Canis lupus familiaris: one gene and its partners. Each later gene encodes a partner of the first gene's protein in a complex. Links are inferred from orthologs where the notes say so. Each region holds a gene or a part of one and is shown in the gene's direction. Other genes may lie near its edges.

Region 1 (4,028 bases):
GGTTCCCAAGTACATATTGCACCATTATAGAATTTCTTTATGAGGCCCACCACCAGTGGCTACTGCTGCAGAAACTCAGTAGGCCAAACTCACTCAAATTCAAACACGATTGTATTTTCAAGTAGAAACATGACCTTAATGTTTTTGATTAATTAAGAATCAATGTACATCCAATGAGATTAGCAATTCACATTGATATACTTTTGATAGGATTTTATTTATTTATTCATGAGAGACACAGAGAGAGAGGCAGAGAAACAGGCAGAGGGAGAAGCAGGCTCCATCCCTGCAGGGAGCCCGATGATCAGGGACCCCAGGGTCACATCCTGGGTCCTGGGCCGAAGCAGATGCTCCCCCACTGAGCCCCCCAGGTGTCCCTCAATAAGACTTCTTCCCTCTCCAAGCCCATGCGGTATGCTGAGATCAGTGGAATTGATTAGCTTAAGGAACAAGCAGGGCCAGTGAAATATTTGCCTATCGGATTTACAAATGTTCAACTCCTGTTTGCATAGAAAAGTAATGGGACAGGCTTGATCGAAAACTGCATTTTACCTAAGACAAGACAATATAAAATACTGCTATTTTGGCACTAGGATGTGTATAAATAAAAGTGGCTCGAGTCTTCAGTTGTGTCTTTCTTCCGCCAGCTTTGAAAAGCTGCCCTTTGATACTGTCGACGCCACCACGTTCATTAGCAGACTGGCTGAAAATCGTGCGGTTTTGAGAGATTTAAAAAAAAAAAAATCTATGCAGCGTAAAAATAAATGTGGGGATTTGCCGTACAGGGCTACAACAAAGATCTTTGCACACTTTCTCAAATGCAAAGTGTTCCGCAACATCCGGCCGCCAAGGGTTAACGGGACAGCATCAGCGCAGGTGCTCTCGGCAGCCGAGGCCGCAGCGCGCGGAGGCTTCCAGGCCGGGCAGCCCCGCGGCGCAGCGGGAGCCGAGACGTCAATCAGGGGAGCTGGACGCGGACCGGGATTCGCTCTCTCCAGACCCTCCCTAGAACGGACTCCTTGGGTTCGCTGGGAAAAAAAATAAAATTAAAGGATTAAGCTTGGGGAGGCACAGCGCAAACAACCACACCCCTGAACCGAACTACTTAAGTCCGAGCCGAAGGCTCTTCCAAGACCTCCTCCGGGACGCCGCTGAGCCCCGCCCACCTCGCCGAGGCCACGCCCCTCTGGAGAAAGCCCCGCCCCTCGATCCCAGAAGGCCGCCGGGCGGCTACCGCGCCTGCGCGGAGGCCCCACTTCCGGCGCCAGGGCGCTCGATTCCGGAAGGGCTGCGCGGCGGCGGCGGCGGCGGCGGCTTCTGTGTTGCGGGCTGGTGTCCCTTGTCTGTTGGAGCGGCGAGTCGCACGGCAGCATCATGGTCGAGGTAAGGTGGCGCTTGGTGCTGAGGGGTCGTTGGCTTCCGCGGTGTTTTTCCTTGGCGGCGGGCGTGGGGGGGTGTTCGCGGTTTGGGGATGGTGAAGGCTGCGGAGGGGGGCTGTCTGGCCGAGGCCGGGTGGTCTCTGAAGGTTTTCAGGGGCAGAGGAAGGCCGGGTGGGAGCCCTGGCTGGACGTTACCCGCGGCCGCGAAGCCCGACTGAGTTTCCACGGTCCGTATTTGGCTCTTGAGCGTCGGGTCTCGGCCGGGCCCCCGGAGGCGCCGCGTCCGGCCCCGCGGGGTCCCCGCCTGCAGAGCAGCGTCAGGGGCTGTGTGTCCTGAGGCGGGCGGTCTTCCTCCAGCTCTGCCCCCAGGAAGACCTGCCATTTTGAAGTTTTGCATCAAACTGTTAGCCAGCCTTGCCCGTCTCATCTCAGAAATACTTCTGGAGCCTTGTCCAGACCCACTGCCTTCGCCTTAATTCAGATCCGGCGTCATCCTTCGTCTGCACGAGTGCCTTAGCTCCCTGCTGGTGTTCTCGCTTCCATTTCTTCGCCCTCTGCAAAATTGATCTGTTTAAGATATACGTTGATCGCGTTTTTTTCTGCTTAAAATCCTTCGCTGGCCAGATGTCACTAGAGCAAAAGTGCAGACTGTTGCAGTGATCCTTTAAAAAAAAAGAATCCTTAACCTAATCTGCACCTTGTCTACCCTTGCAACCTCATCCCAGCCTCACAGTCCACCTTCCAGTGGAACATGCACAGTTCTCTTGCAGCTCCGGCCATCATTGCAGCCACCAAACCCCTGTGTACCTGGCATTTCCTCTCTGCCTGGATTGTTCTCACCTCTGCTCTGCACGAGGCTGAATTTCTGCCTAAGGAATACCTCAGAGAGATCTTTCATAACTATCCTAGGTTCTTTCTTGGCTTGCTTCCTTCATAGCACTTATCAAAGATTTGTTGCTTATTTTTCGTTTTCTCTTGAGCACTGGGACCATGGCTGCCTTGTCATCATTCTTTTGTTAGCTTCTAGCACAGTGCCTGCCAGACACATAGTAGGAACTCAGTAAATACTTGTTCGAATCAATGGCTAAGCTCAGGCATCACTAATTGGTATACCTGGGGCTCTGGCCATTGAGGAGCTTCCTCCTCCTCTCTGACCTTGACTTCTTCTATCGCTTGCTACAAATAGCTGTGGTGAGTGGTACAAAGCTTTTTACATATTTAAATGTGTAAAGTGTATGGCTGCTTTGACTTAATTTAGGTTGTGGTATGTGTCATTTGTAGCTAGATATGTGATTCTGTTCTTTCTTTTTAGGAGGTACAGAAACATTCTGTGCACACACTTGTGTTCAGGTCATTGAAGAGAACCCATGACATGTTTGTAGCTGATAACGGAAAACCTGTGCCTTTGGATGAAGAGAGGTAGGTATTGTTCCTTTTCAGTTACTGGAATATGTAACTTCTAATGTTGGGGGAAGAGAGCAGGGAGAGGGGGACCTTTAAAGCTTAGTGAGTGATACTAACACTCGTAGGATGTCTATTCGGTAATGAATGGTGTTTGGGCATGATTTAAGCTGATTTAACTTTTTTTGGCCTTGTCTTTCACAATAAAAAGTCCCATTAATTAATTGCATTTATAAATACCCAGTAATTAGGAGAGTCCCTTTTAGGTGTTTTATTTTATAATCAATCACTTTGTATGTGCTTTCAGCTTCCCGCTGCTCTCAGAGCCTTGCTGAGCTGAAATTGTACCTGGCCAGTACCTCTACTCCCATCTTTTCTCGTTAGTATGATGAAGATTTTTGAGTGGTGGCATATTTTTGGTTCTACATCTCCAGCTCCAGTCTGGGATTGCATTATGTGCAGTGTTCCTTCTTTGTCCTTTACCCTTCTTTTAAAATCTACTTAATTCCTAAGACAAGCATTTATATTTAATTTATTAAGTGAGCTGTTCTTAAGACTAATATAAGTGCATTTCTTTAAAAAATATTGAACTAATTAACTACTTTGATTAGTTCTAATTGGTCTTTTTAGATACATCCAGTAAAGGTTATGATAGAAGCTTTTACTGTGTTTTTATATTGACACATTTGAAGGAAAGTGTATTGACTGAGGTTTTTAAAAGGATATATTAGTTTCTATATGTTTTTAAATCAGACCCTTGGTAATTTATCATGAAAGGTTATATATTTATTGGTTAACAAATTAAAATGCTACTTAGACTTAATGGATGCTCTGTGGTGGATTGGGAACAAAAAAAGTGTGGAAATGCACTTGGAAATTCCAAGCTTTTTAAAATACTATTTAACTTTAAAAACTTCATAGAATTTTTTCTACATGATTAGGCAAACCTAAGCTATTTAAGTACTTGTGTTCTTGGCTGTCTATATTTCTTTTGGCTAATATATTTAAAGCACTCAAAGATACATTCTTATGTTCATAATTTTTAAATAGTCACAAACGGAAAATGGCAATCAAGCTGCGTAATGAGTATGGTCCTGTGTTGCACATGCCTACTTCGAAAGAAAATTTTAAAGAGAAATGTCCTCAGAATGCATCGGATTCGTATGGTCATAAGCAGTATCCTGCCAATCAAGGTGAGGATGTATTATCAGAAATGTCAGGACTTACATGTGAATTTTCAAAATGAAA
Region 2 (3,500 bases), on another chromosome or scaffold:
GCAGAGATACAGGCAGAGGGAGAAGCAGGCTCCATGCAGGGAGCCCGACATGGGACTCGATCCTGGGTCTCCAGGATCAGGCCCTGGGCTGAAGGCGGCGCTAAACTGCTGAGCCTCTCAGGCTGCCCTGTTTTCCTCCTTTCCACTAAGTCGAATAAAATAGAATAAAACCTAAAACATTCAAATAACCCTAATGCATCTATATTGACCAGGATGGCGAAGCTGTCCAGAAGGGCCTTCAAGCTGGATTGTGCTGCTGAAAGATAGTGTTGGGGGTCAGTGTGTGGCTTTCAGAGAGGCCCAGTTTGGGGCAGGTCAGGTTGGACATTGCAGAAGGACACTGCTGGCCTGTTGGGGGATTTGTCACTCTTACAGATAGGTAAGGAAGGGGGTTGCTGTTCCAGCAAGATGAAGATTTGGCTACCCTGTCCTGACCCAGGTTCCCGAGCTGCGGAAGAAATCACGCCGCGAGTACTTGGCTAAGCGGGAGCGAGAGAAGCTTGAGGACCTAGAGGCTGAGCTGGCTGATGAGGAGTTCCTTTTTGGGGATGTAGAGCTGAGCCGACATGAGCGGCGGGAGCTCAAATACAAGCGGCGAGTGCGGGATCTGGCCCGAGAGTACCGGGCGGCTGGGGAGCAGGAGAAGCTGGAGGCCACCAATCGTTACCACATGCCCGAGGAGACCCGAGGCCAGGTGAGGCAAAGCAGAGTCCACTTTAGCCCTGCTCTCCAAGCTGAGTGGAGGGAAGTCTTCAGGGCTTTGGACAGGGCCTCCACTGGCCCCTTCTTGGTCTTGCCTTTCCTAGTGGGTAGGGATAGTGACTGGAGAGGAGAGACCTGGGAAGAGGGCATCCTCTGTCTTCACATGTCCTTCTCTCCACAGCCATCACGAGCTGTGGATCTAGTGGAGGAGGAATCAGGCGCCCCTGGGGAGGAGCAGCGACGCTGGGAGGAGGCCCGGCTAGGGGCAGCATCTCTGAAGTTTGGGGCCCGAGATGCTGCCTCCCAGGAGCCCAAGTATCAGCTGGTGCTGGAGGAAGAGGAGACCATTGAGTTTGTCCGGGCCACTCAGCTCCAGGGCAACGAGGTGAGCAGGAGAACTGTGGCACGTTCTAACGAGGTTGGGAAGCCGACCCTGAAGCTCACACCCCTCCTCCTCTGCAGGAGCCATCAGGCCCATCGCCTCCATCCCAGGCCCAGCAGAAGGAGTCCGTGCAGGCTGTCCGCCGCAGCCTCCCAGTGTTTCCATTCCGCGAGGAGCTCTTGGCTGCCATTGCTGATCATCAGGTCCTCATCATCGAGGGTGAGACGGGCTCCGGGAAGACCACCCAGATCCCGCAGTATCTCTTTGAGGAGGTACAGTCATCCGCACCCTCCAGGTTACCGGCCACCGGCCCTTGACAAGCACAGTCCTGTCAGAGCTCTTTTCACATGTTGTTTTGAGCAGTCACTTACCTTTTCATCTTTAATCATAGTCTTCTCCATTAAATTGTGAGTTTAAGAATAAGGGCAAACTTGTTTCCTGTTTCTGTTCTCACTTCTAACACAGTATCTGTGTCTAGTGCCAGCATTCGTGTTGGAAAGATGCATAAACAGGTAGATGGTGGGGTTGGGACCTTCCCATACCAACCCATTCAGCCATCGGTCCTCTGCAAAGGACAAAGAACAAGGAGTCAGAGGATTCATTTTCTTGCTTTTTCACCTTCTCTGGCTCCCCCTTGCTTCTGGGTCTGCCCTAGTTGGTCTGTCCTTTTCCATCTCAGATCTAGCTGAGCCTGAATGTGATCACCCAAAAGTCTGGGACCCTCAGAGGGTCGGGTTTTCAGTTTCTGTCTGTTCCTTCATCTCCCCCTGCCCTGTCGTGCACTTACACCTTTTTTCTCTGAATTATCCTAGGCCTCAGGAATATATTTAGCAAAGGGAAAACCTCTTCTCTTGTCATTCAGGGATACACAAAAAAGGGAATGAAGATTGCCTGTACCCAGCCCCGGAGAGTGGCAGCCATGAGTGTGGCTGCCCGAGTGGCCCGGGAGATGGGTGTGAAGCTTGGGAATGAGGTGAGATCTGTGGGGCCTAGGTAGGGAGGGGAGCCTCTAGGGTCTGGGACGTAGCCCACACTGCATAGGGCTTCACACCACACGTCCAGGCACTGACCCCTCATTCCCTAGCCCTGCACTCCCTTCCAGGAGTACCAGCCCAATCTCGATCGTTAATGGTCCCCTTGACAGGTTGGCTACAGCATCCGCTTTGAGGACTGCACATCAGAACGAACTGTCCTCCGCTACATGACAGATGGGATGCTCCTCCGGGAGTTCCTCTCTGAACCTGACCTTGCAAGTTACAGGTACACATGGGGTCACCACCTCCCACCAGAGAGCCACCACCATTCCTGCCCAGTCTGCTGCATTCTGACCCTTCAGCACCTTCCTGTGTCTTCTTTAATCTCTAGCCTATTTTTCCTTTCTTGTCATCCAGCTAGTTTGGCCTTTGTCTTCTGATTAGCCCACCGGTTCTTTTTTTTTTTTTTTTAAGATTTTATTTATTTATTCATGAGAGACAGAGAGAGAGAGAGAGAGAGAGAGAGAGAGGCAGAGACACAGGCAGAGGGAGAAGCAGGCTCCATGCAGGGAGCCTGACGGGGGACTCCATCCCAGGTCTCTAGGATCATGCTCTGGGCTGAAGGCAGGCACCAAACCTCTGAGCCACCCAGGCTGCCCAAGCCCACCAGTTCTTGAAGCTTGATGGTGTGGACAGTCCTAGGACTGACCTGTAGGCACCATGGAGATGGGGTAGAGGGACTGCAGAGATAGACCCCCCACCCCCCATTGCTTGCAGTGTTTAGAAAAACACCAGGATGGCAGAATGGTGCTCTAGAGACTTGAAAAGCCACGTGAAGACCCTTTGAAGAAACTTAGAATGTCCAGCTTAGAGAGAAGAGACTCAGGGAGACATCCTGGTTCCTTCTAAATATGGGAAGGGCTGCTCCGTGGAAAAAGAGGTCAAGCTTGTTTCACGTGACTGCAGCGAGCACAACTAGCAACCACGGGAGTGGCTATAGGGGAAAGAGGTTTCAGTGCAACACTAAGAAGCGAGAGTGGTAGAGATTGAGGCCCTCAATTGAGGTAGAGATTGTGTGCTGGGGCCCTCATCTTGGGCCTTTGGCCCAGGTCTTGGAGTAGCTTGGTCTGTGAATAGTACATTCCCAGTGCTGGTGTTGGCCAAGCAGAGCTTGGATAAATATGTGTTTAGGAGGAGAAGGGATCTGTGCATGGGCTGCTGGTGGGATCAGGCCAGCTGAGCAGTATGTGGTTTCTCAAATCTTAGGAGGCTGTGAAGTTCTGGTCCTAGAAGATCACAGATGGAGCAACAGGACAAATATGATCTGAGCTTTCACATCCCTTGCAAAAATCTCAGAAACCATGGAAGGCCAGCTAGTGCAAGAGTGTTTAGGGTGTGCGGTTTTCCTGTCAAGCCAGCCTGCTTTGTGAAACAGCTGGGGA
Region 3 (3,500 bases), on another chromosome or scaffold:
CAGATATTTTTTCGAATATCCCTAAATATGGAGATGTGTCTGATGTTTTTTTACATGGTTGGAATGAAGTTATGCACTTTTGTACAGAGTACCATAGAAATGATGTATTCTTAGTGCATCTTGGAGTTCATATCGGTATGTCTTATTGGTGATATTAACTTTGATCACTTGGTTAAGGTGACATCTGGATTTCTTCATGGAAACTCCTTTTCTCTATAGATTAATATCTTGTAGGGAAATAATTTGATACTTTGTTAAATTTCCTCTCTCTCCTCTTTCACTCTTCAATTTTAGCATACATCTTTGGATCTCATCTGCAGTACTTAACTACTATGGTGTTTGCCAAATGTCATTTTTCCATTTGTCTTTTTTCTTCTACATTTAATAACTGAATTTCTTCTTTAAGAAAGAGTTGTCTCCCCCTCCCACCCCCATTTATTTATTAAGTATCTTTTATCAGTGTGAACTCAGTGGCTATTCATCTGAGTGAATGAGTTAAAGTCCATTACTGTCATTTATTTTGTTGCTCACGTCATTTCAGCTTTGGCAATCAGGAACTCCTTCACATTGGCCCCTGTGTTCTTTCAACATACCCCTATCATTTTTTTGAGCACTGCCTTTCTTCATAACATCTCAAGTTGTTCAAGATCTTTAGTGCCTTTAAGCAGAAAATTTTAAATCTTTCTCTGGCATTTCTAGTTGTTCTCAGCAGGGGCTGTGGTCTCCACAGCTTTCTCCTTTCTCCCTGGAAATGGAAATACAGTAGTAAAGGATTTTTTCAAATGTGCAATTTTCTGAGATGGTCTGTTGTTTTCCCCAGGGTCAACTGTTTTTTTTCATCATAGTATCTTAGTCTAAAAATAAGAGATAGTCTAATTGTCTAAAATGCATATCATTTCTTTTTTTTTTTTTTTTTTTTACAAATTTTTATTTATTTATGATAGTCACAGAGAGAGAGAGAGAGAGAGGCAGAGAGAGAAGCAGGCTCCATGCACCGGGAGCCCGATGTGGGATTCGATCCCGAGTCTCCAGGATCGCGCCCTGGGTCAAAGGCAGGCGCCAAACCGCTGCGCCACCCAGGGATCCCTCATTTCTTATTTTTTAATGCATATTCCAGAGGCAGGAAAAGTATGTTGGAAGGTTGATCTTTACACTCTTGTTCTCTGGCTTGTTGCACTTAAAAGAGTATTACATACTGTGTGGCAGCCAGAATTGTGGGACTCTCAGTGTTTTATATTATTAGAACAAGATTGCATTTGCCCACAGGAAGTCTTATTCTTGAATTAAATATATTAACATTGTTCATTTAATATTCACCTCTTTTAATTCTAAAGAATTTGTTATTTCATGATATCTGTTTTGAGAACAGATGATAACACAGCATGAATTGCTGCAATAAGGAATCTTGCTGATTCAAAATTAATTTGCCTCATCATCCCATTTTAGCATAGAGCTTTCAGTTTTATTGGTAAAATATTAAGTAGCATAAGAGCAGTATGAACTGCCCCAAAATTAGAAAATTGTAAAGCAAATACCAAAGATTGGAGAGATTGCATATTATGGTAGGGCTCAGGGTTTTGTGTCAGCAACGCCCTGAGAGTGGTGTAGAGTTGGGTCAGAGAGACATTGATTTAGCACACAGCCAGATGGTTTCTGCTTGGGTAGCTGCAGCTCAGCTGAGGAACCAGAAAAATAAATCCTTAGTGGCAAACCAATGGACTGTGCCAAGGATAGGCATTTGGCAGGAGAAATACAGGTTGGTACAGTGAGATTTGGGTGGAGATAAGGCGAAGGTAGGCAGTTTTCTACCGTATTTTTTTCTTTCTGTATATATACGAATTTGACACAAACTTCGGTCGTCTCAGCAACCTTGATTTATGTACTCAAAAGAAATAACAAAGATAAAGTGATTAAATTTGTTTTATAGCTTAAAATTTCTCCGTGATTATTTAATATTTATATTTGTTTATTATATCAGTAAAAATTGTTCTAGACCATTTCAGAACGGTTTTTCTCAGAAATCAAGCCTTCATAGCTCTCATAAAAGCTCATGATTATATGTCTTAACAAGCTTCTTCTCTTTCTGGTACAGATACTTCTCCCTGATAGCACTGGAGAGCAGAGCTGTTGTTTTTTAGGAAGAGGCTTTTACTTGAAAAATATATATTCATGCTGTTAAACAAACTCCATCATCCTACTCCCCCACCTTTAGGGAGTGACGTTGCTGGCATATCTAATCACTGTCTTTTTATTATTAACATGCCAGATCTGACATATTTCATATGACAAAGTGCACATGGGCTGGAGTTTTTGAATAAGATTTATAAGTGGAAATATATACCTGTTAGTCACTTTATAAAAAATTTTACATTTGCTATAGTTTATGTCAAGTTTCTGTTTACAGCTTTGAGTCTAAGGATCAAAATGGTACTTTGGTAACTAATGGTGATATGATATATATTCTTAAAAATTACTCATCTTGTACAATATTCTGACATCAGACTTTCCATTCAATCAGTTTAGTTTTGCATCCAGCTTATCTGAATTAATAAACCTACAATAGATCAGTAACTATAATTGTTAAATTATGAAATTAAAGATTAAAATAAAACCTAACTATTTCATTTTACACATGCAGCTAAAGATAGAAGAAAGAAGGGACAAGGGAACAGCAGAAGTAAAGAAGTAGATAAATTGATCAGGAAACAACAAACCCACGATAGGAAACAAGAAGAAAGAAGGCCAGAGCAAAGACATCAGGAAACAAGGACTGAAAGAGAAAGACGGTCAGAAAAATATAAAGATAAAAATTCACGGGATCCAAATTGGAGAAATCCCATAACAAAATACACTTCAGACAGAAGTGTTCCTTCTGAACGAAACAGTTACAGTAGAATCGTGAATGACAGAGACCAAGAAGTGCACACAGATTTGGAAAATAAGCATGGTGATCCCAAAAAAAAGAGAGGAGAGAGAAGAAATTCTTTTTCCGAAAATGAGCACAGACAGCGAAATAAGGACAGTGAAAATGTTGTAAGAAAAGATAGATCAAAGTCAAGAGAAAAGACTAGAAAACATTCAGGCTCTAGAAGTGATGAAGATAGGTATCAAAATGGTGCCGAGAGGCGATGGGAAAAATCTAGCAGATACTCTACACAATCCAGAGAATCAAAGAAACATCAGGACCGGCGAAGAGAAAAATCTCCAACAAAGCAAAAAAAATAATTCTACAAAATTACAGAAACTGAACATGCCTTATATTCAGTTGAGACAAATTATTTTTTACATTAACGAACTTTATAGAGAATTCTTGTATAAAGTACTGGTTTGTATTTGTACATTTAAAATTTTTTTTCATTTTAACATGTTTTATAATTGATACATCTCAAGGCCCTCCACATAAAATTATTTGAGAAGTTTCATTAGAGAGGGATGTAATTCTTGCTTATATTTTGTTAATAAAATGATCAAATGTTCATTGAATCAGTGATTTTCTTCAT
Region 4 (2,428 bases), on another chromosome or scaffold:
CTAGACTTACTCATCTGTACCTAACTGCAGAACAGAACTATTTTAAAGTCATCTTTCTCCCACTAAAGAGTCCCTTCTATTTGCTGCCACAGTTGTTCATCCATTCATCAAACGTTTTTTGAGAATGCGAGCTCTACCAGGCCAAGTATCGCAAGTGTGGTTATCACAAAAAAGATGCCACAAAAGAAGCTATGATAAATGATGGCATCAAAAAAGTATACGCTACTTTCCCCCAAGTAGTTTGAATTCACACGAGGGAGTTCTCAGAAAAAAAAAAAAAAAAAAAGAACCCAAAGCGTAGGCTATAAGGCGATCATAATGAAGCGATGTACAGGAGACTTTACGTCTGTCTGGTGTGGCCAAAGCCGATTTCAAGGAGATGCTTTTGAGCTGACTTAAAGAGAGAAGTTGTTTGCCAAGGGAACAAAAGCATTCCAAGCGGAGGGAACATCTAGTACAAAGAACTGGAGAGGCGAGCGGCACGGAATGCTGAGACACACAGGCTGGGGTGCGTAGGGTGGGGCGAGCAGCTGGAGGCAGGACATCAAATGAAGCAGCTGGAGCGCCGGGGGGCGGGGGGGGGCGGGGGGGGCGGGGCTCGGTGTGGGAGCCCGAACGTGTCGGCGCCCGAACGTGTCGGCGCCCGTAGGGTCCTCGGGCACCGGGCGGGAAACGGCGGCCCCGCCAGCGCTGAAGGAAGACGCACAGCTGGGAGCCGCAGTCGCGTCGACCGATTCTCAGGGTGACCCACCCCGGGCCGTGACGGGGCCCACCACGCCGCCACATTCGCTCCGAAACCAAAGTTACACCGAGGTTACTCTCACGGCGGCCTGTGGCAGCTCCCCATTTCTTCGCAGCTCCCAGCCGCCCAGGGATGCTCCCCGCCTCCCCGACACGACGCTCCACCAGGCGCCGGCGGGCTCTTAAACCGCGACGACCGCCCAGGGAGGCGGGCGCGCACGAACCCTCGGCGACCGCAGCTCCCGGCATGCAACGCTCCGCGCTAGAGCAAGGGCCACTGAATGAACCATGATGCAACGCTCTACGGAGGGGGCGGAGCTCTCCATGGCGGGGGCGGGGGGTGGGCGGCCGACTGGTAGCGTCGCCTAGGCAACTCCAATTCCCTGACGGAATACACTTCCGCTTCCTCCTCTGAGCGCTAGGACCGCGAGTCCTCGCGGCTCCGTGGCTGTGACGTCATTCTCCTGCGACTGAGCCGGCCGGGAGGTGCCGTGTCGTGGGCTCTCTCCCGCGTGGAAGTCTAGAGCAGCTTCTCCTCTGCGGCGTCTGACCTGGGCGCGAAGGGAAAGCGGCGAGATGACTGACCGCTACACTATCCACAGCCAGCTGGAGCACCTGCAGTCCAAGTACATCGGCACGGGCCACGCCGACACCACCAAGTGGGAGTGGCTGGTAAACCAGCACCGCGACTCCTACTGCTCCTACATGGGCCACTTCGACCTTCTCAACTACTTCGCCATTGCGGAGAATGAGAGCAAAGCGCGAGTCCGCTTCAACTTGATGGAGAAGATGCTGCAGCCTTGCGGACCGCCAGCCGACAAGCCGGAGGAGAACTGACACCCCCGTCTCGTCACTGCCACGCGGGAGCGTGTCCCGAGTTCCTCCCGTTTGCCGTTTCTCCCGCGTGTTCCTGCCCCGAAGTGGACCGGTTCTCCATTGCTCCTGTTTCTCGCGCCTTCCTCGTGCACAAGTGCTTAGCTGAGGCCGTCCCGCCTGACCTGCTTTCCTGTGGACCCTTAGGAACAGCGTTGGGAGACTGTCAGGACCCGTGAGAACTGAGACGGTGGAGAGGTCCTAAACCAGCAAGAGAGGGGGGAAGGAACTGGGATCAGACGGGATTTGGAGGCTCTTTTTTGGCTAGTTGATTGTCGTTTCTTTTTCCATAAAGTCTAGAAGTTTTTCAATCACTTGGTGTGGACCACTTGCGTTTGAGTGGAAGGGGGTCCAAGGAGGGCTTTGGGGACTTTAGTTTCTTGGGAGACCGAAGAGGCGGGAGATGGATGGGTGGAGGAGTTGAGCACAGGGCCAGCGTTCATTGGCATACAGTTAAATCCGCCTTGCACGATCTTTATAATATTCCCCAACCCAGACTTCTCCCAAGAGCTTTTTTCAGGCCCATAATGCCTTCAGGACTGAGGATTAAGGTTTATGATCACTGTATCCCTCTTTCATGTTCTTGCATTCAGAAAAATCTTTACTAGCATTGCCCACTCCTCTATGTAAGTTGCATCGTCTCTTTCTCTTGGGATTCTGGACACATCCTGAAAAACGACAGGCTGTCAGACGAGTTCTTTCATTCATTCGGCATTCAACAAATACTTGTTGAGTCAGTTCTATGTGGTGGGCATTTTGCCTCGCTTTTGGAGCTTATGTTATACTTGGGGGGGCACACAAATTGTAGGCATAA
Region 5 (2,382 bases), on another chromosome or scaffold:
TCAGAGGCAGTTGAGAGATTTATGCCTAGGACAACACAACTGCAGGAGCGGAAAAGAAGAAGAGAAGATGATCGTAAAATTGGAACTTTTCTTGAAACAAGCACAAGTAGTAATGAGGTTATGATTGGGCCTCTGTTACCAGACATACCTAAAGTGGACATGCATGACGACTCATTGAATACCACAGCAAATTTAATTCGGAATAAACTTCAAGAGGTAAGATCATTTTTAAAAAACTATTTTAAGAGACCATCTGGTCATAGGACTAACAGCTAAATCGAGATTTGTGGCAGCTAAAGTATTGTCATTAATTTTTTTCATTTTCAGTTTTTTTTTTATGTGTTTTTCTACAGTTCTGTTGAATTAACTGAATTTGACTTAACAGAAATGTATGTGCTTTGATGTCATTAATCCTTGCTTTAAACAATGTATTTCATATCATTCTAGCTCTAAACTATAAAAGCAGTGGTTTCAGTCAGTGAGGTTGGTCTGTGAGAATTGAGCCCAGGCCCTCCCTTTTTAAAGCTCCCTGGTTGGTTCTATTATGAGCCAAAGTACAGAACTGTTGTGTTGAAGGAAAATTACTACAACTTATTTCTTTAAAGTTATTACAAAATTACATTAAATTAAAATGCTTTTTTCTTCTTTGATAAAGATAGCCATAGAAAAAGATGAGATTTCTAAAGACTAGCCACTACGGTCTGCATTTCAAAATGTCAGCTCCTTAAATAGAATACAGCTCGATTGTACTACTTAAGTAGTAATTTCTTTACATATTATTTATGTAATCATTTTACATTTTCCAAGCACCAATAAAAGAAAGCTAACATTTGAATTAGCTTTTGAAAGATACCTTTTTTATGGGGCAAACCTCGTAGAAATCAAGCTGAGGAAGAAAGACCATTCTCTTAAACTTTAATCTGAGGTTCAGAGAGTGCTTTTTGTGTAATTGTATGTATATTTTACAGAGTGATTAAGGGAGTCTGAGGTGGCTTAGTTTATGTGTATTTTTTTTTTTACCTGAAAATTACTATCTCATTAAGGATGAGCTCCTATTTTATAATAACAAAAATCTATAAACGCAGTTTCCATGCTTAAGCCTCTTTTTAAAATTTTTAGTTTGTGCTGGCCCCCTTCCTTCAAATACAGCTGAGCTGAGGCATAGATAGAGATGCATAGCGCTCTCAGCCAGAGCAGACTGTATTTTCAAGAAAAAAAGTTGTTAGGTTCAATTCCTAAAAAGGAAACAGCAGAACAACAAAAATGAGAAATGCTTAAACACAACTTACTACAGATGCTAATAATAAAGGATTATTATAGAAGAGTACATATTTATTTTTCTCCCTTCAAATTTTTTTTCTTGTTAAATGGCTTTAGAAATTTTACTCCCATCAGTGTTTGGACAGAAAACTTTGCTCTGTAGGCTATACCCTGAAATTGGACTCACTCTGCCTCCAATGTGATGGCAAGATTTGAACTACTAGATGTAGATCCTACCTCTTCTATTAGTTTATTTATTCCTGTGCTATAAGGAATAAATGTTGGTGGTTCTCTTTTTTTAAACTAGGTAATTTCATCTGTGCCAAAACCTCCAGAAGACAAGCTGGAAGATGTGCATTCAAGTCGTCCATTAAAACAAAGAAGAAGAATATAGATTGCCAGCAGCAAATTATGTTTCCTGAGGGACTATTTATTATTTTTAGCCTGTCATTTTAATTCTTGAAGAGGTTGTACTGCAGGAATTTTCTAATGCATTCCTCTTTGTAATATCATTCAACCTACTTATTTAATAAAATTTCATCTTTTAAAATTAGTTTATCATGGACAAAATACATGCCAGCCAAATATATTCCTTAATAAAAGAAAACAACTTTTCCAGTGATTCTGGTTACATCTTACTAGCTAGAACTGGGCTCATGGCTGTTCCTAACTGGGGAGGTCTGGCATGGTAAATAAATGTTTAGGTTTTCTTTTTTCTTTTTTCTTTTTTCTTTTTTTTTTAAGGTTTTCAACTTCTGTGGTTGAGGAAGCAAGAGAAAAGGGGGTTATGAAAGGCTTATTCACAGGATTTGCCTTAAGATCTAAGCCTTGTTGGCTAACTTAAAAAGTAAAATTAGTTTATCATTACTTATAGGTGTTATTTTGATCATACTTAATATTACAGAAACTGTTCTTATTCTCACATTGCAGTAATTATAGGTAAATGAAGTGAAGCAAAGATAAAAACTTTAGAATGCAAGTAAAGATAGGCAGTCAGGATCTGCTTCTGATTTTAATACAAGTATTGAGTAATTCACATTCAAAAACTAGAAGTCAGGATGTGTCTGAATGCCAGGGCTTCAAAATCAATACAATTCTGTAAAGTAAAAAAAGGTAAACTAT
Region 6 (3,969 bases), on another chromosome or scaffold:
ATAGGGATGCCTGGGTGGCTCAGGGCATGATCCTGGGGTCCTGGGATCGAGTCCTACATCAGGCTCCCCATATGGAGCCTGCTTCTCCTTCTGCCTATGTCTCTGCCTCTCTCTGTGTTTCTCATGAATAAATAAATAAATAAATAAATAAATAAATAAATAAATAAATAAATAAATAAATAAATAAATAAATAAAATCTTTAAAAAAAATTGGAGAGCACAAGTGAAACTCTCGCTGCTCCGCCCTGCACATAGGGGGCGCCCAACAAATCCTGGCTCCTTTGGGTCTTTCCTCTCACCCTACCGCCCTCCTCCAAGTCTCCGCCCCCTTCCCCCCACGCCCCGCCTCCTTCAGGCTCCGGGCGGAAGCAGTACCGTCGCAAATGCAGCGCGCGTTACGGTGGCGTTGCCTTTTACAGCAGTGTGGCCGGCTTCCGTGGCCCTCTCACTTTTACCTCATTGGCCGTGCGACCCGCTCACCGCGCTTTCCGGCAGTGTGGCCGGAGCCGCAGCGGAGGGGCCCGCGGTTTGGCCGTGAGTGGAGGGAAGCTGAGTAGCAGGTGTTGGCTGGGCCTGGTACCATGGATGTGGGCGAACTTCTGAGCTACCAGGTATGAGGGGCGAGGCAGGCCGGGAGCCATCCCCTCACCCAGGCAGGGCTCTGCGGTCGCGGGACCAGAGCCCCTTCATCTCCCCCCGCGTCGCCTCTGTCCCCGGCCGCGTCCCCCGCGCTCCTGAGGCTCCGGCGTCCGAGCCCCTCGTTTCACTCCACTCCCCTGAGACTTTCCTGGGCCCTTTGGTTCATTCCTTCTCAGAGCGCAGGCTCCTTCGTCTCAGCTGCAGCCTGGGCCTCTTCTTGCCCTACCCTGGGTTGGGGCCTGGTCCCCGTCAACTCTTCCGCAGGCCCCCGGCCACCTTCGCAGCCATCTCGTCGGCTTTCCGGTCCCCCGGGCGTTGTGTTGGTGGCGGCGGTGGGAGGGCACTGGCCTTGCCCGCCTTTGACCCCGGCTTCCCCAGTAATTAGCCATGTGCCCTTCGGACGAGTCATCTCCCCCTCTTTGAGCGTCAGTTTTTGTATCTGTAAGACGGCGACAGTCCTAACCCTCCCGTTGGGTTGTCTGAGGCCTCCGTTGCAAACTACCGGGTGTGAAAGCTGGTTGTAAAGTGTAAGAGCTGTTCCCATGCCATTGTTAGGAGATGCGTGGAATTCTAGCGTGGAATCTTCTCGTCCTCCCTGCTCTGGCTACTTGGCGGGAATCCGCGGCCCAGAGGGCAGAAAGGACTTATCCAGAGTCACTCAACAAGTAAGAGCTGGGATTGGAGCTGAGGTCTCCTGGCTCCCAGTTCAAAGGTTTCCCCCTCCTTGACTTCCTACAGGGGCCCCTCGTGAGAGGCAGTAGAGCCCCGCTGTCCACGTTGTTCAGGTGGCTACTTACCTTTTAGTGTGGCTATTAAAATTGCATATATAACCGGTCTTGTATTTCCATTGGCAGGTCTGCAGTAGAGAATAGGTCGTTAAGAACTAGGGGCCGGGGCTGCTTGTTCCTTGGAGTGTCTCTTTTGCTATTAACTGGCTGCTGTAACCTTGCACAGAATACTTACTTAACTAACTCTTTGTGCCTTGGTTTCCCCATGTGTAATTAGGGGCAAAGATGGTACCTGCCACATAAGTCTGTCATGAAGTTCTTAATGGTCTGCCAATGCTTGTCAAAGAGTAAAAGTTCAGCAAACACTAACAATTATATTCATGTCACTCCCTCAGCCAGTATATGAAGAACAGACCTTGGAGACGTCGTAGAAAAGAACTTATAAGCAACGGGAGATATATAGCCAAGAGATTTATCTCTCTCTCTTTTTTTTTTTTTTTAAGATTTTATTTATTCATGAGAAACACACACACAGAGAGAGAGAGAGAGAGGCATAGACACAGGCAGAGGGAGAAGCAGGCTCCATGCAGGGAGCCCGACATGGGACTCGATCCTGAGTTGCCAGAATCACACCCTGGGCTGAAGGCAGGTGCTAAACCTCTGAGCCCCCGGGGCTGCCCGAGATTTCTCTTTTTAAGACAGTTATTGAACATGAAAGAAGAAAGGAAATAAGGTTGTTGAATGAGTGGTTACATATCTGTTTGGGAGTTGTAGAATGGCAGGCCCACTGACTCAGAATATTGAAGCTAAAAGAGATTCATTCATTTGCTCAAAAAACATTTATTGAACGCCTACTGTTCAAAATCCTCTGAGTATACAATATTGAACAAAACAGACAAGGTTCTTGCTTCTGTGGAGCTTGTAGTCTGGTGAGAAAGTTAGAAGATGATAAGTGTGTAAGTAAATTCAGATTGTGATAGGCTCTTGAAGGCTAAGCAGAGTATACTCTGTAACTGTGCTGTTTTGTGAGATAGCCACTGGCACCTGTGGCTACTTGAAATGTGGCTAGTTGGAATTGAGAGCTATGTGTGGAATTGAGAGCTATGTGTAAAATACACATTGGATTTCCAGGATTTAGTGTGAAATAAATTAATGTAACGTATATTAATAATCTTTATATCAATTCCATGTTGAAATGATATGTGGGGTATATTGGCTTAAAGAAAATATATTATTAAAGTTAATGTTACTTTCTTTTAAACTTTTTTTTAATATGACTACTAGAAAATTTAAAGTTATATGTGGCTGTATATGTGGCTCATTTGTGGCTTTCAGTATATTTTTATTAGATAGTGCTATGATTGAAAATAACCCCTGAGGGACACCTAGGTGGCTCAGTGGTTGAGTGTCTGTCTTTGGCTCAGGGCGTGATCCCGGGGTTCTGGGATTGCGTCCCACATCGGGCTGCCTGTGAGGCACCTTCTTCTCCCTTTGCCTATGCCTCTGTCTCTCTGTCCCTCGTGAATAAATAAATAAAATCTTAAAAAAAAAAATAAAATAACCCCTGGCAGTAGGAGACAGGACCTATTACCTTTGGGTAATATGGTCTGGGAAGGACTCTGAGGAATGGATGCTAAAGGACTGAAGGTTGAGAAGGAGCCAATCATGTAAAAGGGCAGAAGAATCAAGGCAGAGGGAAGAGCACGTATGTAGGCTATGAGGTAGAAGCTGGTACAGCCTTTTAGAAGATCAGTGAGAGGATTGATGGTGCTGGAACATGGTGAGTGAGCAGGAGAATGGTAGATGATGAATAGGAGATGTAAGCAGATGACAGACAATGTAGGTCTTCCTGTAGGCCATGGTAAGGAGTTCAAATTTTATTTGGAGAGATGTTATATAGATAACCTCATGCAGCCCACTTCATTACAGATGAGGAGTGAACCCCATTCTGATAAAGCACTTCTCTGCAGCTGTGGGCTAAGGTACTGGCATAGTTGAAACCAGAATCCTGATCTCCTTATTTTCATCTCTGTTCATTCCCCATATGCACTATTCATGCAATTTCCTTTTCGTAAGATGGATGTCCACTCCTCCTGTTCCTAAAAGATGGTACAGTCTGGAATCTAGTTCATAATCAATCAAATGCACCCATCCTCTTGTGGAAGTAGGTGAAGATCATTTGAATTAATGAACGCAAAAGCTCTTCAAAAACAGTAACATTTTATAGCTATGAAAGATGCATCATTTACTTGTACCATCTCTCAAAATCTTTCTAATAACCCTATGAAGAAGGTACTGTCTCTAATCCTTGTTGTACAGATTAGGGAACTGAGGTACAGAAAAGCACCTGCCTCATAACTGAAGCTCCTAGTGACTGTGCTGTCGTGCCTGCCTACTCTGTGCCAGATGCTGAATAAAGTGCTTTCAGATGGATTCTTATATTTAATTGTCAACATGCTTTGAGGTGAGGGGCATGCCTATTTTATAGAAAAGGACACTTGAGCTAGGGAGGTCAGTTACCTGCCCAAGGACAATAGCCAGGAGCAGAGCCAGAACTGGAACCGAATGATTACCCAACCTGGTTTTCTGTTTTGTTTTAAGA
Region 7 (4,128 bases), on another chromosome or scaffold:
CTTGGGTTCTCAGGTCACATTAAAGAATTTGACCTTTATTCTAAGTGCAGTGGGGTTTTTAGGCAGAAGAGTAACACTACCTGATCCATAACTTTCAAAGATCACTCTCACTGCTATCTGCAAAATTAACCGTATGTAGGGCCAGAGTGGAAGCAGGAAGGTCCATTAGGGAGCAATTATAATGCAGGTGAAAAATCCCAGTGGCTTGAACTAGGGTAGTGGCAGGGGAATGAAATTTTGGGTATCATACTTTAAAAGTAAAATGGACAAGTCTTGGAAATAAACTATATGTGAGGAGTCAAGTAAAAGGGATTTAATCAGGAGCCTTGAGGTTTTGGTTTAATAAGTGGTACCTGGCAGTGTCCTTTACTGAGACGTACAAAACTAGGGGAGAAACACCATCCCTAAGAGAAAAATTTTTTATCTTGACCTTCAGAAAGGAAGGGGCTGCTTCTACTTTTTAAAAGAATTTACAGGTTTCAAAGGAAGAGTTCTGGAAATAAAGCTTTTTAATGCTCGATTTTATGAGCTGTTTATATTTGACACCAAGTTGGAGATGCTGAATTTTCATCTGTCTAATATTTATTGAGCATCTACTGTGGCCAAAGACCATGTGATGAGATACCAAGATGGACTAAACAAACGAGCTCCCTGCTCCCAGTGCTTTTTGGAAAAGGGAGAACGGACGACTGGCGTTCGTTGTCTCATTAAAAGTTCCCCCAACGCCCGAGTAGCCATCTTCCAGGAACTGCATCTCGCGCTCCTGGCAGTTGGGCCCAGCGTTCCAAACGCTCATCATCGGGCTAATAAGTGAATCTCTAATAGTGACATCTCCCCTCCCGCTAGAACTCAGGCTTTTTTAAAAAAAAATGGAAATGTTAACAAACAATACGAATACAACCTTTGCCTTGAAGACTAGTATTTTTGCAGGAATGGTACCTTTATAAAGATCGTGGTTGCCCCCGTACATATTTGTTCTTTCTTCATATCCAATTAAATGAAAACACTAGTTTTTCCGCAGCCCACTCTAGGCTGGCTGGGTCTAGCTCAGGAGAGAGGAAGCCGGAGCCGTTGGCTTTAAACACTTGGGTGTAATCCTTCTCTACGCTCCCTCCCGCTAGCCGGGGACTCGCGGTCCGCTACCCGGGGCTTTCCGTCCACGCAGCGGCGGAACGAAGGAGGCTGGGAGGGGGTCGGGGAAGGGAAGGACGCGAGAGACATTAAGTAATTGGCTCTTGAAGGTATAAAACGATGTTTCGGGTCTACTCGAAAGCACGGATTTCAAACGCCCGCCCCCTGGGCCGTTTCGGCCCCGCCCCCCGCCGTCATCACGCCGACCTCCACCCCGCCTGCTGCCGATTGGTCTCCGCCTCGGCCTCGGAAGTGCGGCTGAAGAGCCGGGGTTTGCTTCCGGGTCGTGGGGCTCGGGCCCGGTCCTGGGCGCGGAGGCTGCTGGGAGGTGAGAGTCGTCATGGTGTCTGTGTGACTTGCGGAGGCTGTCGCGTTAGACCTTGGTCGACGTGTGCCGCGGGAGGGTAGCAGGTTGTCCGTCCCGCGCGGGTGGGGCGGGGAAGGCCGGCAGCGGCCGGAGTCGGCGGTAGCGGGCCGGGCGTGGGCGCAGGGGCCGCGGCGGGGGCGGGGGCGGGGGCGGGCGGCGGCCGCGGAGCGCGCAGCGTGAAGGCAGTAGGCGGGCGGCGGTAGCGGGGTCCACACCCCTTCCTCCCCCGAACCCCCTGCGAGTCGGGCCTCGGGGTGAAGAGCCAGCGAGCCTCTGGTAACAGCCCGAAGGCCAGCCCCCGGGAGGCGGGAGTGACCGAAATCCGGGAGTGTGCGGGCGGCGGCGGCGCCCCCAGCGGCAGGAAACCCGGGCTCTCTCGGCGCAGATCCCTTTTCCCTTTTTAAAAAATCGAGGGACGTACACTCAGTGCCCGCCTCCCCCACCCCGGTTCCCCGCACCTGGCTTTTCGGACGCTCGACGGGACTTGAGTAGCCACGTCTGCTAGGCACCCCTCTTGGCAGCCCCAAGCCAGAAGTAACGGAAGGGGTCCCCGAGTTTTGTTTATCGGAATCCTTTGGTGGTGACTTTCCTTTCATGAGCATCGTCACCTACAAAAATCTGCTTTGTATTCTAATCGTTGCTATAGAAGAAAGTTGGACCGACAAAAGGTTGTTGGAGAATCCTGCCCGTGTAACTGTCCTTAAAGTTTAGCCTACTTTACTCCAGGACACTCCGTAACCTTGTCGGTGATTTTAAAACAACCTGGTTTTGTAGTTAGTAGCCTGTTTTCTGTTGTATGAGGTTAAGTGCAAACCTTAGGGCATCTGGTGGACTAGGGTTAAGCTGAGAATTTTTTTTTTAAGATTTTATTTATTTATTCATGACAGAGAGAGAGAGACACAGAGGCAGACAGGCAGAGGGAGAAGCAGGCTCCATGGATCAGGCCCTGGGCGGAAGGCGGCACTAAACCACTGAGCCACCTGGGCTGCCCATAAAGCTGAGAATTTTTAAAACTCAGTGTTGGCAGTACTAAATTTTGCAAGGCTTTGACATTTCAATTCCTTTTTTTTTTTTTTTTTTGACATTTCAATTCTAATAATAACCCTGTGGGGGACATTGCCCATTCCTCAGAACTTGGAGCTGGATGACTTGCCCAGGGCCCCAGATACAGAAGGAGAACAGGAACACCAACTCCCATCTTCATGAGAGAATTTTTTGCCCTAAATAAGAGTTGCCTAAGAAGCTATATTCCTTATATACCCTGAGCTTCATTATGTGTTTTCTTGAGAACTTTTGTTTGAGATTATTAATTTTGGAGAATGAATTCTGGAAATTATTTCACAAGGATGAATATTATTAATATCTTATGAAATGAGAATATATCATATTGGAAATAACTTGATACAGTTTTTCTTTAAAGCATAAAAGATGACAACAGCAGCTAGGCCAACTTTTGAACCTGCAAGAGGTGGGAGAGGAAAAGGAGAAGGTGATTTGAGCCAACTCTCAAAGCAGTATTCAAGTAGAGACCTACCTTCTCATACAAAGATAAAATATAGGTAATGAAGACTTTTTATTTTCTTGTTCAGAAGACAAGACTAAATCTGTTAAATGGCATGCTCATGAGATTCTAGCGTGTTTGGGGTATATCACTAACCTATTTTCATAGGGATAGAATGCAATAGAGTGTTTAACATTAAAACTGTGCTCTGATTATTAAAACACTACCATGTACTACTTATGCAGAAATCCCTATTAATTGGGAATTTCCGTATGTAGATGGCTCAATAGCAGTGACCTCAGGGCCCATCCACTATCAGCACTACTCAGTGTGAGGTGAAAAGTGTCAGACTAATGAGCCCTGAATTGATGTACTAACAAAAAGTAAAGACATTTTAATTACTCCCCAGCCTTATGGGAAAATATGTGACTCAGTTTGGGCTTTCTGAAACGTTGGAAACATTACAAGAATGCCTGTTAGTGACCTTCAGATTAGGGTAATGATCTCATTTAGTTCCTTGAACTTGAGGACAAAGTGGCTTTTTGCGAACTGTCTTCCCCTGCTACAGCCATGTATCTTTTTAGTAATATTTTCACCAAATTGTTTCTGCTTTAGACAAACTACTCAGGATGCCCCTGAAGAGGTTCGCAACCGTGACTTCAGGAGGGAGCTGGAAGAGAGAGAGAGAGCTGCTGCAAGAGAAAAAAACAGAGACCGTCCAACAAGAGGTACCAACACTGCCCCCAGATATTTGTCATCATGAAATTATGTTGACAATGGTTTTTCTTTCATGGCTAATTGGAGCTGATTAATATTTTTTGTTTGCTTGCTTTAAAATGTTGGCGTAAACAATATAAAGTATTGTTTGCTTTAAGATTGGTAACACTTTCTTAAGTGATTAGATTAGAGTTGACTCCAGTTCCATCTCTTTGTGCTTCCTTAGCAGAAGGAACAGGATGATCTGGGGATATCTGGCAGTTCTTGTTTCAGTTTACGTAAAGGTTTTTGTCTTAAGATTTATTTGAGAGAGAGCACATGTGCATGAGCAGGGGGAAGGGCAGAGGGAGAGATAATCTCAAGCAGGTGGGCCTCAATCCCAGGACCCCAAGATCATGATCTGAGCCAAAAT

The links.
Region 2: PLRG1 (region 1) and DHX16 share a complex: the UniProt entries of both Homo sapiens proteins name them as parts of the minor spliceosome. The link is inferred for Canis lupus familiaris from reciprocal best matches to the Homo sapiens genes PLRG1 and DHX16.
Region 3: PLRG1 (region 1) and CWC22 share a complex: the UniProt entries of both Homo sapiens proteins name them as parts of the minor spliceosome. The link is inferred for Canis lupus familiaris from reciprocal best matches to the Homo sapiens genes PLRG1 and CWC22.
Region 4: PLRG1 (region 1) and SF3B5 share a complex: the UniProt entries of both Homo sapiens proteins name them as parts of the minor spliceosome. The link is inferred for Canis lupus familiaris from reciprocal best matches to the Homo sapiens genes PLRG1 and SF3B5.
Region 5: PLRG1 (region 1) and RBM48 share a complex: the UniProt entries of both Homo sapiens proteins name them as parts of the minor spliceosome. The link is inferred for Canis lupus familiaris from reciprocal best matches to the Homo sapiens genes PLRG1 and RBM48.
Region 6: PLRG1 (region 1) and CTNNBL1 share a complex: the UniProt entries of both Homo sapiens proteins name them as parts of the PRP19-CDC5L splicing complex. The link is inferred for Canis lupus familiaris from reciprocal best matches to the Homo sapiens genes PLRG1 and CTNNBL1.
Region 7: PLRG1 (region 1) and CWC15 share a complex: the UniProt entries of both Homo sapiens proteins name them as parts of the PRP19-CDC5L splicing complex. The link is inferred for Canis lupus familiaris from reciprocal best matches to the Homo sapiens genes PLRG1 and CWC15.

What each region holds. Positions count from the first base shown.
Region 1 is NC_049236.1:52,571,453-52,575,480, reverse strand, and holds the start of PLRG1 (pleiotropic regulator 1), read left to right. Parts: upstream 1-1,228; 5' UTR 1,229-1,374; coding exon 1,375-1,383; intron 1,384-2,691; coding exon 2,692-2,798; intron 2,799-3,087; exon of another isoform or gene 3,088-3,159; intron 3,160-3,830; coding exon 3,831-3,973; intron 3,974-4,028. UniProt on the Homo sapiens protein: Involved in pre-mRNA splicing as component of the spliceosome. Component of the PRP19-CDC5L complex that forms an integral part of the spliceosome and is required for activating pre-mRNA splicing.
Region 2 is NC_049233.1:606,622-610,121, reverse strand, and holds part of DHX16 (pre-mRNA-splicing factor ATP-dependent RNA helicase DHX16), read left to right. Parts: intron 1-439; coding exon 440-694; intron 695-883; coding exon 884-1,087; intron 1,088-1,164; coding exon 1,165-1,356; intron 1,357-1,896; coding exon of another isoform or gene 1,897-1,946; coding exon 1,947-2,057; intron 2,058-2,228; coding exon 2,229-2,344; intron 2,345-3,500. UniProt on the Homo sapiens protein: Required for pre-mRNA splicing as a component of the spliceosome. Contributes to pre-mRNA splicing after spliceosome formation and prior to the first transesterification reaction.
Region 3 is NC_049257.1:23,697,426-23,700,925, reverse strand, and holds part of CWC22 (pre-mRNA-splicing factor CWC22 homolog), read left to right. Parts: intron 1-2,638; coding exon 2,639-3,225; 3' UTR 3,226-3,500. UniProt on the Homo sapiens protein: Required for pre-mRNA splicing as component of the spliceosome. As a component of the minor spliceosome, involved in the splicing of U12-type introns in pre-mRNAs. Promotes exon-junction complex (EJC) assembly.
Region 4 is NC_049222.1:35,794,967-35,797,394, reverse strand, and holds SF3B5 (splicing factor 3B subunit 5), read left to right. Parts: upstream 1-1,183; 5' UTR 1,184-1,317; coding exon 1,318-1,578; 3' UTR 1,579-1,928; downstream 1,929-2,428. UniProt on the Homo sapiens protein: Component of the 17S U2 SnRNP complex of the spliceosome, a large ribonucleoprotein complex that removes introns from transcribed pre-mRNAs.
Region 5 is NC_049235.1:18,074,932-18,077,313, forward strand, and holds the end of RBM48 (RNA-binding protein 48), read left to right. Parts: coding exon 1-216; intron 217-1,567; coding exon 1,568-1,654; 3' UTR 1,655-1,882; downstream 1,883-2,382. UniProt on the Homo sapiens protein: As a component of the minor spliceosome, involved in the splicing of U12-type introns in pre-mRNAs.
Region 6 is NC_049245.1:26,820,126-26,824,094, forward strand, and holds the start of CTNNBL1 (beta-catenin-like protein 1), read left to right. Parts: upstream 1-1,169; 5' UTR 1,170-1,181; coding exon 1,182-1,304; exon of another isoform or gene 1,305-1,424; intron 1,425-3,969. UniProt on the Homo sapiens protein: Component of the PRP19-CDC5L complex that forms an integral part of the spliceosome and is required for activating pre-mRNA splicing.
Region 7 is NC_049242.1:6,115,128-6,119,255, forward strand, and holds the start of CWC15 (spliceosome-associated protein CWC15 homolog), read left to right. Parts: upstream 1-1,328; 5' UTR 1,329-1,459; exon of another isoform or gene 1,460-1,542; intron 1,543-1,657; exon of another isoform or gene 1,658-1,774; intron 1,775-2,905; exon of another isoform or gene 2,906-2,918; 5' UTR 2,919-2,926; coding exon 2,927-3,057; intron 3,058-3,614; coding exon 3,615-3,727; intron 3,728-4,128. UniProt on the Homo sapiens protein: Involved in pre-mRNA splicing as component of the spliceosome. Component of the PRP19-CDC5L complex that forms an integral part of the spliceosome and is required for activating pre-mRNA splicing.